Linked DNA regions of Schizosaccharomyces pombe. The protein of the gene in region 2 interacts with the protein of the main gene of each other region in a pairwise test. Each region holds a gene or a part of one and is shown on either strand. Other genes may lie near its edges. The genes, in order: SPOM_SPCC126.12 and sib2.

Region 1 (3,971 bases), on a different chromosome or scaffold from region 2:
ATAATTCAGGCAAGTAACAGACTTAAATATTTATAAAGTTTTATTACAGCCCGATGTTATCATTGCTAGAGTAAATGAACATGAATCAAGGTTACTCCGTTTGCAACAGCTGTAAGAAGCTGAATTGTTATTTTCTGAATCGGTGCTACAAGCTAACAGCCCAAAATCACTTATTATTTTTACAACAACTTTAAGCTGATATCTTCGTTTCATAACTAAATCCAAAGTATATTCCTTCAATTATTTAATTTCATTTAAATTTAATATGAGTATTACAATATGTATAACTAAAAAAAATAAGTTTTCAATAATCTCCTTTAGTATAGGGGTAGTACACAAGCCTGTCACGCTTGCAGCCCGGGTTCGAATCCCGGAGGGAGAGTAAATAATTGAAACTTTTTTATTTAGCTAAACAAAGCTTAGTTTTTGAAGCTTTGGCATCATTATGACCGATATTATATTAGTAAAACATAAATCAAAAATTTCCTAATATACCTGGTTCAAGATCAACCAGTTTGGTTCTCTAAAAAATGTACTTCATATAGAAGAGTAAGAAGAATCTACAAATTATGAGTTTTGTGAAAAGTCAAAATTAATGCAATTTAATTTTAGCATTTCTTCAATTTATGTTAAATAAGTAACAGCTTTTTATTTTAGTAAATCTACATGGTAGTCAAAGGATCAGCATCCATAGAAGATACAATCACATTTGCATCTACTCCTTCTTTGTGAAAGGATGAAGCCAGTTTTTGACACATTACATCCTTTAAATAACCTCTTTCTGTATTGGAATGTCCGCCTACATTGTTGTTAGTTGAATAATATATAATACCAAAGAGGTGAACTGAACAGATTTTTCCTTACATAATATAACTGAGATTCCTTTGGCCATCGCAGCTAAAACTTGATGATGAGACAATTCACCAGTAAAGTAAAGATCTGCATCCGTATTCATAACCACAGATCCACCAGAACCTGCACATAAAGAAACCTTGGAAATATGAGAATCTAATCCGTTAGGTGCACACACTTGGACTACAATCAAATAGGTTAACAATATTAACAATAAAGATAAAAAGAAGCTCACCATATTGCAAGCCGGTTAACTCCTTAGCCCTTTGGACCAATTCACGCAAGGTTGTAGGAATCTTCAGTTCGCAAATTCGACCGTAACCTTCTGCCTCAGCCATGACAGAATTTTGCTGAGTTGGGACCACGCTTTTAATGTTGTTTCGTCCTCCAGCTATACCTTGGGCCAGCCAGTCATTTACTCCATCAACAGCAGCATCAACGGCTGTATGAGGCGAGTAAACGTGAATTCCTTCAGCAGCAAGTTTTAAAAGGCTTCTTTGTTGGGGATCCTCCATCGTGATGGCTTTAAGCCCACGAAAGATAATGGGGTCTAGTTGTGAGTAAGTTGTGTAAACAATAAAAGTAGAAGGTTAACCGCCATACGATATGCTACAATAGATGATACAAGTTTATTTGAAATAGCTTCTTCAGCAACTTTCTCAGTCAAGTCAATCGTCAAAAGTACGGAACTTGCATTTGTTCTTGGGAAAGGAGCCTCAAGCAGAAGCCCAGTGTTGTCCCAAGAATCCGCCAATTTTGGATTATAGATGGACTCAACTACTTTTTTTAATTTGGAAGAAATATTTGCCTTAGACATATTTGGGGAAAGATACCATTAAACGCAGTGATTCCTGAACGACCGTAAGACCACGTTTACGACAACACTTAGTCCTAGGATATGCTTTCTCAAATCTGCTAAATTCTGTAGAGCATGAAGGAATTCTAGCAACGCGTAGCAATACACAATTTTAACTATGCAGTCCTGCGTATCGGTAAAAAAATATTGAACTGCATAGCGAGCATTAAAAAACGATTAGGTAGTACTTTATTATTTTACCGATATTTTTTTATCTATCCTAATACAGCTAAAAAAATCTACGCTTGCAAATGCCTCTATATAAGAAATGCTGAGTGTTAATTTCACAATTTGAATATTTACTTTGTTTATTAATTTCCTCTGTTTATAGAAAATATTTTTTCAGTCAAAGGAAGAGGCCATAGGCATTTCTATCCCATTTGTAAAAGAGCATCCAGTATTTAATGTTTGTAGTGCGTATTCTTCGGGACATGAAATAAATTCTTAGGAAAAAAAATCTCGTTTATTAAACGTACAAAACAATTTAGTGTCTAGTGTTCTAGTTCATCAAGTTTTTAAAAACGTTCGAATGCAATCTCATTATCATTCAATCGGTTCTAGTACTTCTTAGACTACTCGTTACATTCAAAACATATACATTGGTAATGCATTAATCGGTTTTTATATCTCCTCAAGCGTTAAAAATGCTACAGCTCACAGTTGCCGTGCAGAAAAAAACTGTAAAGAAAGAGTTGAAAGAAACAAGAACTAATATTTAAGAAGGAGCAGATTAATCTCCTTTGGATTTTAATGAACACATTAAATTGATTATCATATTGCTAATAGTACACTTCAAACATTTCAATATATAATATAACTGGACCTTTTGTGTCGGCTTTTTTTTTAATTGGTCTATATGACAATTATTTGTAAACAACTCTTTTTTTTCCTAAGGTCATTCCAAGGTCTATAGGAAGGATGAAATATGTATAATTTGGGAATCTTAATTGTTTAAAATGGTACTATGACCAACATGCATGCAAATATTCAAGATATTTCATCATCAAAAGATTGCAATATCTATTGAAAAATCTTGAAATAGGAGTAATGAATTGATTACATGACTAATTTTAAATAGAAGCTCAAGAAAAACAGTTAAACTTCTCAGGTTTTCTACCTGATATTCACTCTTGTTTATGTTCGATATAGGATCTCCCGTCTCACCTCCAATTCCTGCTACTAAGCAGCACTACCACCAACACGCACCTAATAAGTTCTCGTGGACGGATGGCAAAACGAGGCAACAAAAAGAAGCAAGAAGGTAAAATCGTAGCTGGAAACCCATAAAATAAAGCTAACATATTTTTACATAGCACCGCTGTCGCTAGGCAAACATACAGTTGGCGGACGTGTTGGGAAACCAACAAATGCTAAAACCGTATGCTTTTTATTTTTTCCAATGTTTTTTTACTCTAACAAATTGTGAAGGGATCAGCTTTAACTTCAGATAAAAGTTTGTTTGATAAACGTATTGTTAAGCAACTGAAGAATAATGAGCTTTTTAACCGTTTGACTCTCCCCTCGCAAGAACTAAGGGATGGTATAGTACGAGAAAATCAAACAAAGCCATCCAATTCTAATTCCCAAAGCAATGGTGCTATTTCGATCCGTGGTATCGCCGGACCCACTAACGTAGTTATTGAAAATCTTGCTCCCGGAACTTCTTCTGACGATGTCGCTGCTACGTTGCTTAATTTTGGGGAAATTTTGAATTGCCAAGTTAACGATTCTCAAGGAAAGGTGCGTGCTAGTGTTCGATTCAGTACCCTCGCAAGTGCTCAGCAAGTTGTCCAAAAGCTCGATGGCGTAACTGCTGATGGCTTTAAACTCTCTTGTTATATTAAAAAAAACAGTAAAAAGAGAAGAACTCAAAAGAAATGAACTTTTTGCAGCTGTTAGATTCTTTTCATACTTATTTTTTGCTTCCACTGAAGTGTACGTGACTTAATATGATACCTACTGTCCATATCGCTCTTCTGAAATACTCCTTCACGTTATCTGTAATTGGGAAACCTAGAGACTTACCAAAACTCATTCAAGTTTCTACCTTTTGATTTTAAATCAATTTCTGCCTTCCCTCAAACCAGTTCTTGTTATAAAGAATCTCATCGTATTTCTTATTCTGAAACTCTGTACATAACTCTTTAATCTTCACAAAGCGTTAAAAATCGGACGTTAATTCCTTCCCATTTTTCCTTTGAATGTATTCTTGGTGAGTAGCTTATTTGAAAAATTAAAATTTAAGTTGTTACAATTTACGAAA
Region 2 (4,396 bases):
TGAGAAGATGGTGATGCAGTAAAGTTTTGCTTCTCTTTCAAGGAACTTAAAACTTCTCGAAACCTTTCAGTTGGCACTTTTAAATGTAATACTAAAGTTTCGCTCATTATATGTTTATAATTACCCAAATATGTAATTTGTAAGAGCACCAAGCAAATAACTTTCGAACTCTTTTAACTAAATCGAAAACACTGATTAAAGGATAAAAAACTTCTTAAACTTCCTTTTCTTTAAATTTATCTCTCTTCAAATTATTTAGCAATAAGATGGAAACCTTTCTTAAAGACCAAAATTGAAAGGTAACTTGGAATAAGAGAAGACAGGAAAAAAATTTGAATGCGAGGTGGAAAGTATCAACTAAACGTGTTCCACCGTTGGGATCTGCCGTCCCATAGTTCGCCAGCTTGGACTTGGTGCACCGTCATGTCTCCAGTGTATATACATAAAATTTCTTTAACGAACAACATGCTTTGCAGTGAAGATAATTTTTCTACGAATAAGCGCGCTTAAATATTTTAGTGAAATCAAAATTAATTTATTTAATAATGTTAAGCATACTCACTGCTTACGTTTTGTATGTCAATTTGGGTCTTTAAGTAAAAGTAAGCTCGAATTTAGCAAAATACATTATAGCTATATGGATATCTGTATCAAGTCGTCTTTAATCGACCGGAATGTCAAAATACCTTTTATTGTCACGTAAGAAATTGGGATAGCACGACTTACTATCGAAATAAGGCATGAAAGGGCGAATGAAGGGAAATATTCACAGTAGCTTTAAATTGACCAAGTCATCGAAATCTATACAAATATACAGTGTAGAGATTCGTAAACCGAATAAAAGGTTCAAAAGAAAATGCAAAAGTCGAAGATTTCTCTATGTTCTTGTAAAAAGAATAAAAGATAATGAAAGACGGCGAAGCATCAAATGAGGTGAATAGTTAAGCTGAGAATCAATTAAGATAAGAAGCAGGGACCCGAGCAGTTGGTTTACTCGGACCAAACAGTTCCTTGGCTAAACCACCAGCTCGGATAGCAGCCCAGCTAAGAAGGGTTTCGCCGATTCCGTGTTGATTGCTGGTAATGCCGGCAACATAGACTTTTCCCTGTTTACTTGGGGCGTTTAGTACACAGTACTCCTCAGAAATTTGAGCGCCCTGCGAGTTGGGAAAAAGGGAGGACATTAAGACATCGAATGATTCATGATCATAACCAGTAGCTACATACAGGACATCAATTTTACGAGTTTCAGGCTTTTTGCTTTTGTCCATTTGACTAGTCAATTGAACAACTAAATGATCGCCTTCGTTCTTAATCGACTGAATGTCTGTATCACCCATTATTTGATGGAATTCTTGACCATACCTCAGTTTTTGCAAGTAGCACTCCTTAAACATCTCCTCCAATAGTGACTCTTTGACAACACTGTAATTGGTAGTACGGCCAACGCTTAGTCCTTTCAATCTAGCTTCAGTGGGAAGGTTGTACCACCAATGGGAGTTATGGCTGTCAAAGTAAAGCGAATTCACAAAAGGGCTTGAGTCACTGGGAACTGGGGCCAAATTGCGAAAGCACATTGCCAAAGGGGTCTTGGGGTCGAGAGAGTAATGACAGTGTTTCCATATTTCAGCAGCAGATTGACCGCATCCCACGACGAGAATGCCGTGTTTGGAATTTCGAAGCAACTTTTGACTATGATCTGACATGAACTTACTGGAGTGGACGATAAGTGGACTGTCGACTGATTTATACAATGGTGGTATATACGGCTGACAACCCGTAGTAATAATGATGTTTTTCGCTTGCCATTGAGTATCACCGTGACCCACAATGTACAGATCAGTTGCGGCATCGTAATGGAGTTTATTAATGTTAGCGTTGTACTCGACAAACTTGGAGAAATGGCTGGCTGCCCAGCATAAGTAGTCATGGTATTCGTAACGAGATGGCTCTAGGGTGGACATGTTAAGGAAACCAGATAATCGTTCCTGGCCATGCGAATGTAGATAGTTTAAAAAGGTGAAGTAAGAAGTAGGATCCCTGGGCGTTGCCAAATCCTTTACAAATGAGATTTGCATGTTTGAACCAGGAATCAGCATACCCTCATGCCAGGAAAACGTGGGCAACTTTTCAAACACGCGGATTTTTTTGTTCTTTAAGGGCTCCTCCGAATGGTCATGCAAAGCAATAAGGAAAGAAAGACTAGCGGGACCAAATCCAATAATTGCTAAATCTAGAGGTTCAGTCATTTTCTTATTTCCAAAGGTTTTTTTTTAAGAAAGAGGGACGAAATGAATTAATTAGATAATTAGGGATTTTCCCTAAGCAAGCAATAATATTAGAAAACTTGGTTCCATTATCCGAAAAAACATATTTTTCCTTTTCATACTTACCAAGTTTCACGATATTCTAGAATGCGCGGCTTTTTGAAATTAATTAGGCTAGCACTACTACAAATGTTTGCAAGAAGATTGTTGGTCGATTTTAAAATATTGTTATCCAACCCACAATACGTGCGAAAATGAGCCTATATAATGGAAGTATATGAGCACATGTATTTTAAGGAGTCCATTCCCTTTCGATAACATATGTCGCGCTTTCTCCGTCATAGCGCTAAGCCCTTACGTAACTGCAGTTAAGGTGGAAATTTTGTGAAATCCGAGAAAATCTCGAAGCATAAACAACCGTTAAAAAAAAGAGGATGGTGAAATGAAAATTCTGTTTTTCTTGAGCGAAATTCTTTTTTTATGGGAAATTAAAACAAAGCATCGCCAGGTATATGTTTTCTCCTCGCGTACATACGAATAAACAAAAAATAAGAAGTGCCTAAAATTAAGCATCGTTTTGTATTCTTAGGTATAAACAGAAGGTGAAAAGTGTACTGCCAAATTTAGTATTACGGAAAACCGAGTCTTTGTTATGAAATTATTTGAAAATCGTTAAAATTACCGCATACCAAGGTCTATATTTCTCTGTCATCTTCTTTCCCTCCCCTTTTCATCCACTTTCTCTATGCTGCGGTCGCATGCTCTGTATCTCGCAAGTCCGTAGTTTTTTGAACTATGCGGAAGCAAATCTGGAGTAAAGCGAAAAGGAAGTGGTAAGTGTGTTACAACACATTTTTTTTAATAGAATGGCATCGATTAAATGAGACATCAGAAAAAATGGAAAACTCTATTCATTCGTTTTCCACTACAAAAAGTCCCCTTTACTTGGACTCAGGTTTACCGACCGGCACCCCGCGTTGATCTTCTAGACTCTCTTCATCCGATCTCTATCGATCTGATAAATATAAGGTGGTAAAGTGGGCAATATTGTAAGCGAAAATCTAGGTCACATGCACTTCATTTGATATCTCTCCATTTTAAATTTCGGAAAAGATTAGTAATGAGGCTTTTCATGATCTTTCGAAAGTATTGAAAAATTCACTTAAAAGAGCAAACTCCGATGAAAATAGTCACCCGAAAAACTTCCAGTTTGTTGATTGCCTTGTTTAGACAGGCCTTTTTGATTGCACATTATAACGAACTTTAAGGCTGCGCCAAATCACGTAACTAAACTTCGTTAAGCAAGGGTGGTGTAATATTACAAGCATCCATATTTTAGCAGGATATTCCTCTACTTGGTTCTTACTGCTACTGTGTTTTAATGAAGGATTAATACATCCTTTAGCTATTGATACATTTGTGAAACAACACCTTCGTTATAAAATATTTCCGTGTCACTAAATTTTTTGATTGAGACTTATGAAGAATTCAAATGAAGAAGATGCTTTCTCAACTCAAATTTCTCAATTAGGTCCTATGCGGCCGTCAAGTGATGCCCCCTATCACGTTTTATCACTTCCCTTTTCACATCCTTACTCTGCATTTTTGGACGCTTGGAGTTGGCTGTTTTGTGGTATCACTGGTGGAGAAGTTTCATTCTTTTTTTTTCCTGTTTCAGACGATGTGATTCCTAATACTAATCCTAAAAATTGCCAATGCTACTTATATCATTCTACAAACTCCCAACTAGAACCCTTAGAAGTTTTTCACCTACATAAACTACATTCTGCCGTTTTCACTTCGCGTCGAGATCCATCCTTTGCTGACGATTTGTTTGAATCATCTAAACCATGTTTGAATCAACTTTTATCTTATTTTTCAGACATAACCGCTTTTCGATCTATGGATGTGGTTGCCGACATAGCCTTTGTCTGTTCTCCCAATTTCCTTACTTTAAAATGGAATTCGTCTCTGTTTGATGATGATTTAGCAAGATTACTTTTTTTCATGATTAACTCAAAAATCACTAATTACGACCTCCCCTTCTCCATCCTTAATTCTCCTTGTTCCGATTTATGCTTAAACTCTTCATCTCTTGCTAATTATTTACACGGGTGTTTTTATCATAA

What was found.
Region 1: the proteins of sib2 (region 2) and SPOM_SPCC126.12 interact in a two-hybrid assay, tested with the Schizosaccharomyces pombe proteins (one large-scale study listed by BioGRID).

What each region holds. Positions count from the first base shown.
Region 1 is NC_003421.2:2,135,819-2,139,789, reverse strand, and holds SPOM_SPCC126.12 (NGG1 interacting factor 3 family protein), read right to left. Parts: upstream 1,746-3,971; 5' UTR 1,670-1,745; coding exon 1,456-1,669; exon of another isoform or gene 1,403-1,455; coding exon 1,088-1,402; exon of another isoform or gene 1,036-1,087; coding exon 865-1,035; exon of another isoform or gene 824-864; intron 800-823; coding exon 663-799; 3' UTR 587-662; downstream 1-586. Other genes in the region: SPOM_SPCC126.11C (rrm type RNA-binding protein), read left to right, coding at 2,936-2,969, 3,022-3,086, 3,137-3,589.
Region 2 is NC_003424.3:868,878-873,273, reverse strand, and holds sib2 (ornithine N5 monooxygenase), read right to left. Parts: upstream 2,482-4,396; 5' UTR 2,394-2,481; intron 2,322-2,393; 5' UTR 2,250-2,321; coding exon 954-2,249; 3' UTR 501-953; downstream 1-500. Other genes in the region: Ino80 complex subunit Ies4, read right to left, coding at 1-107; ferrichrome synthetase Sib1, read left to right, coding at 3,747-4,396.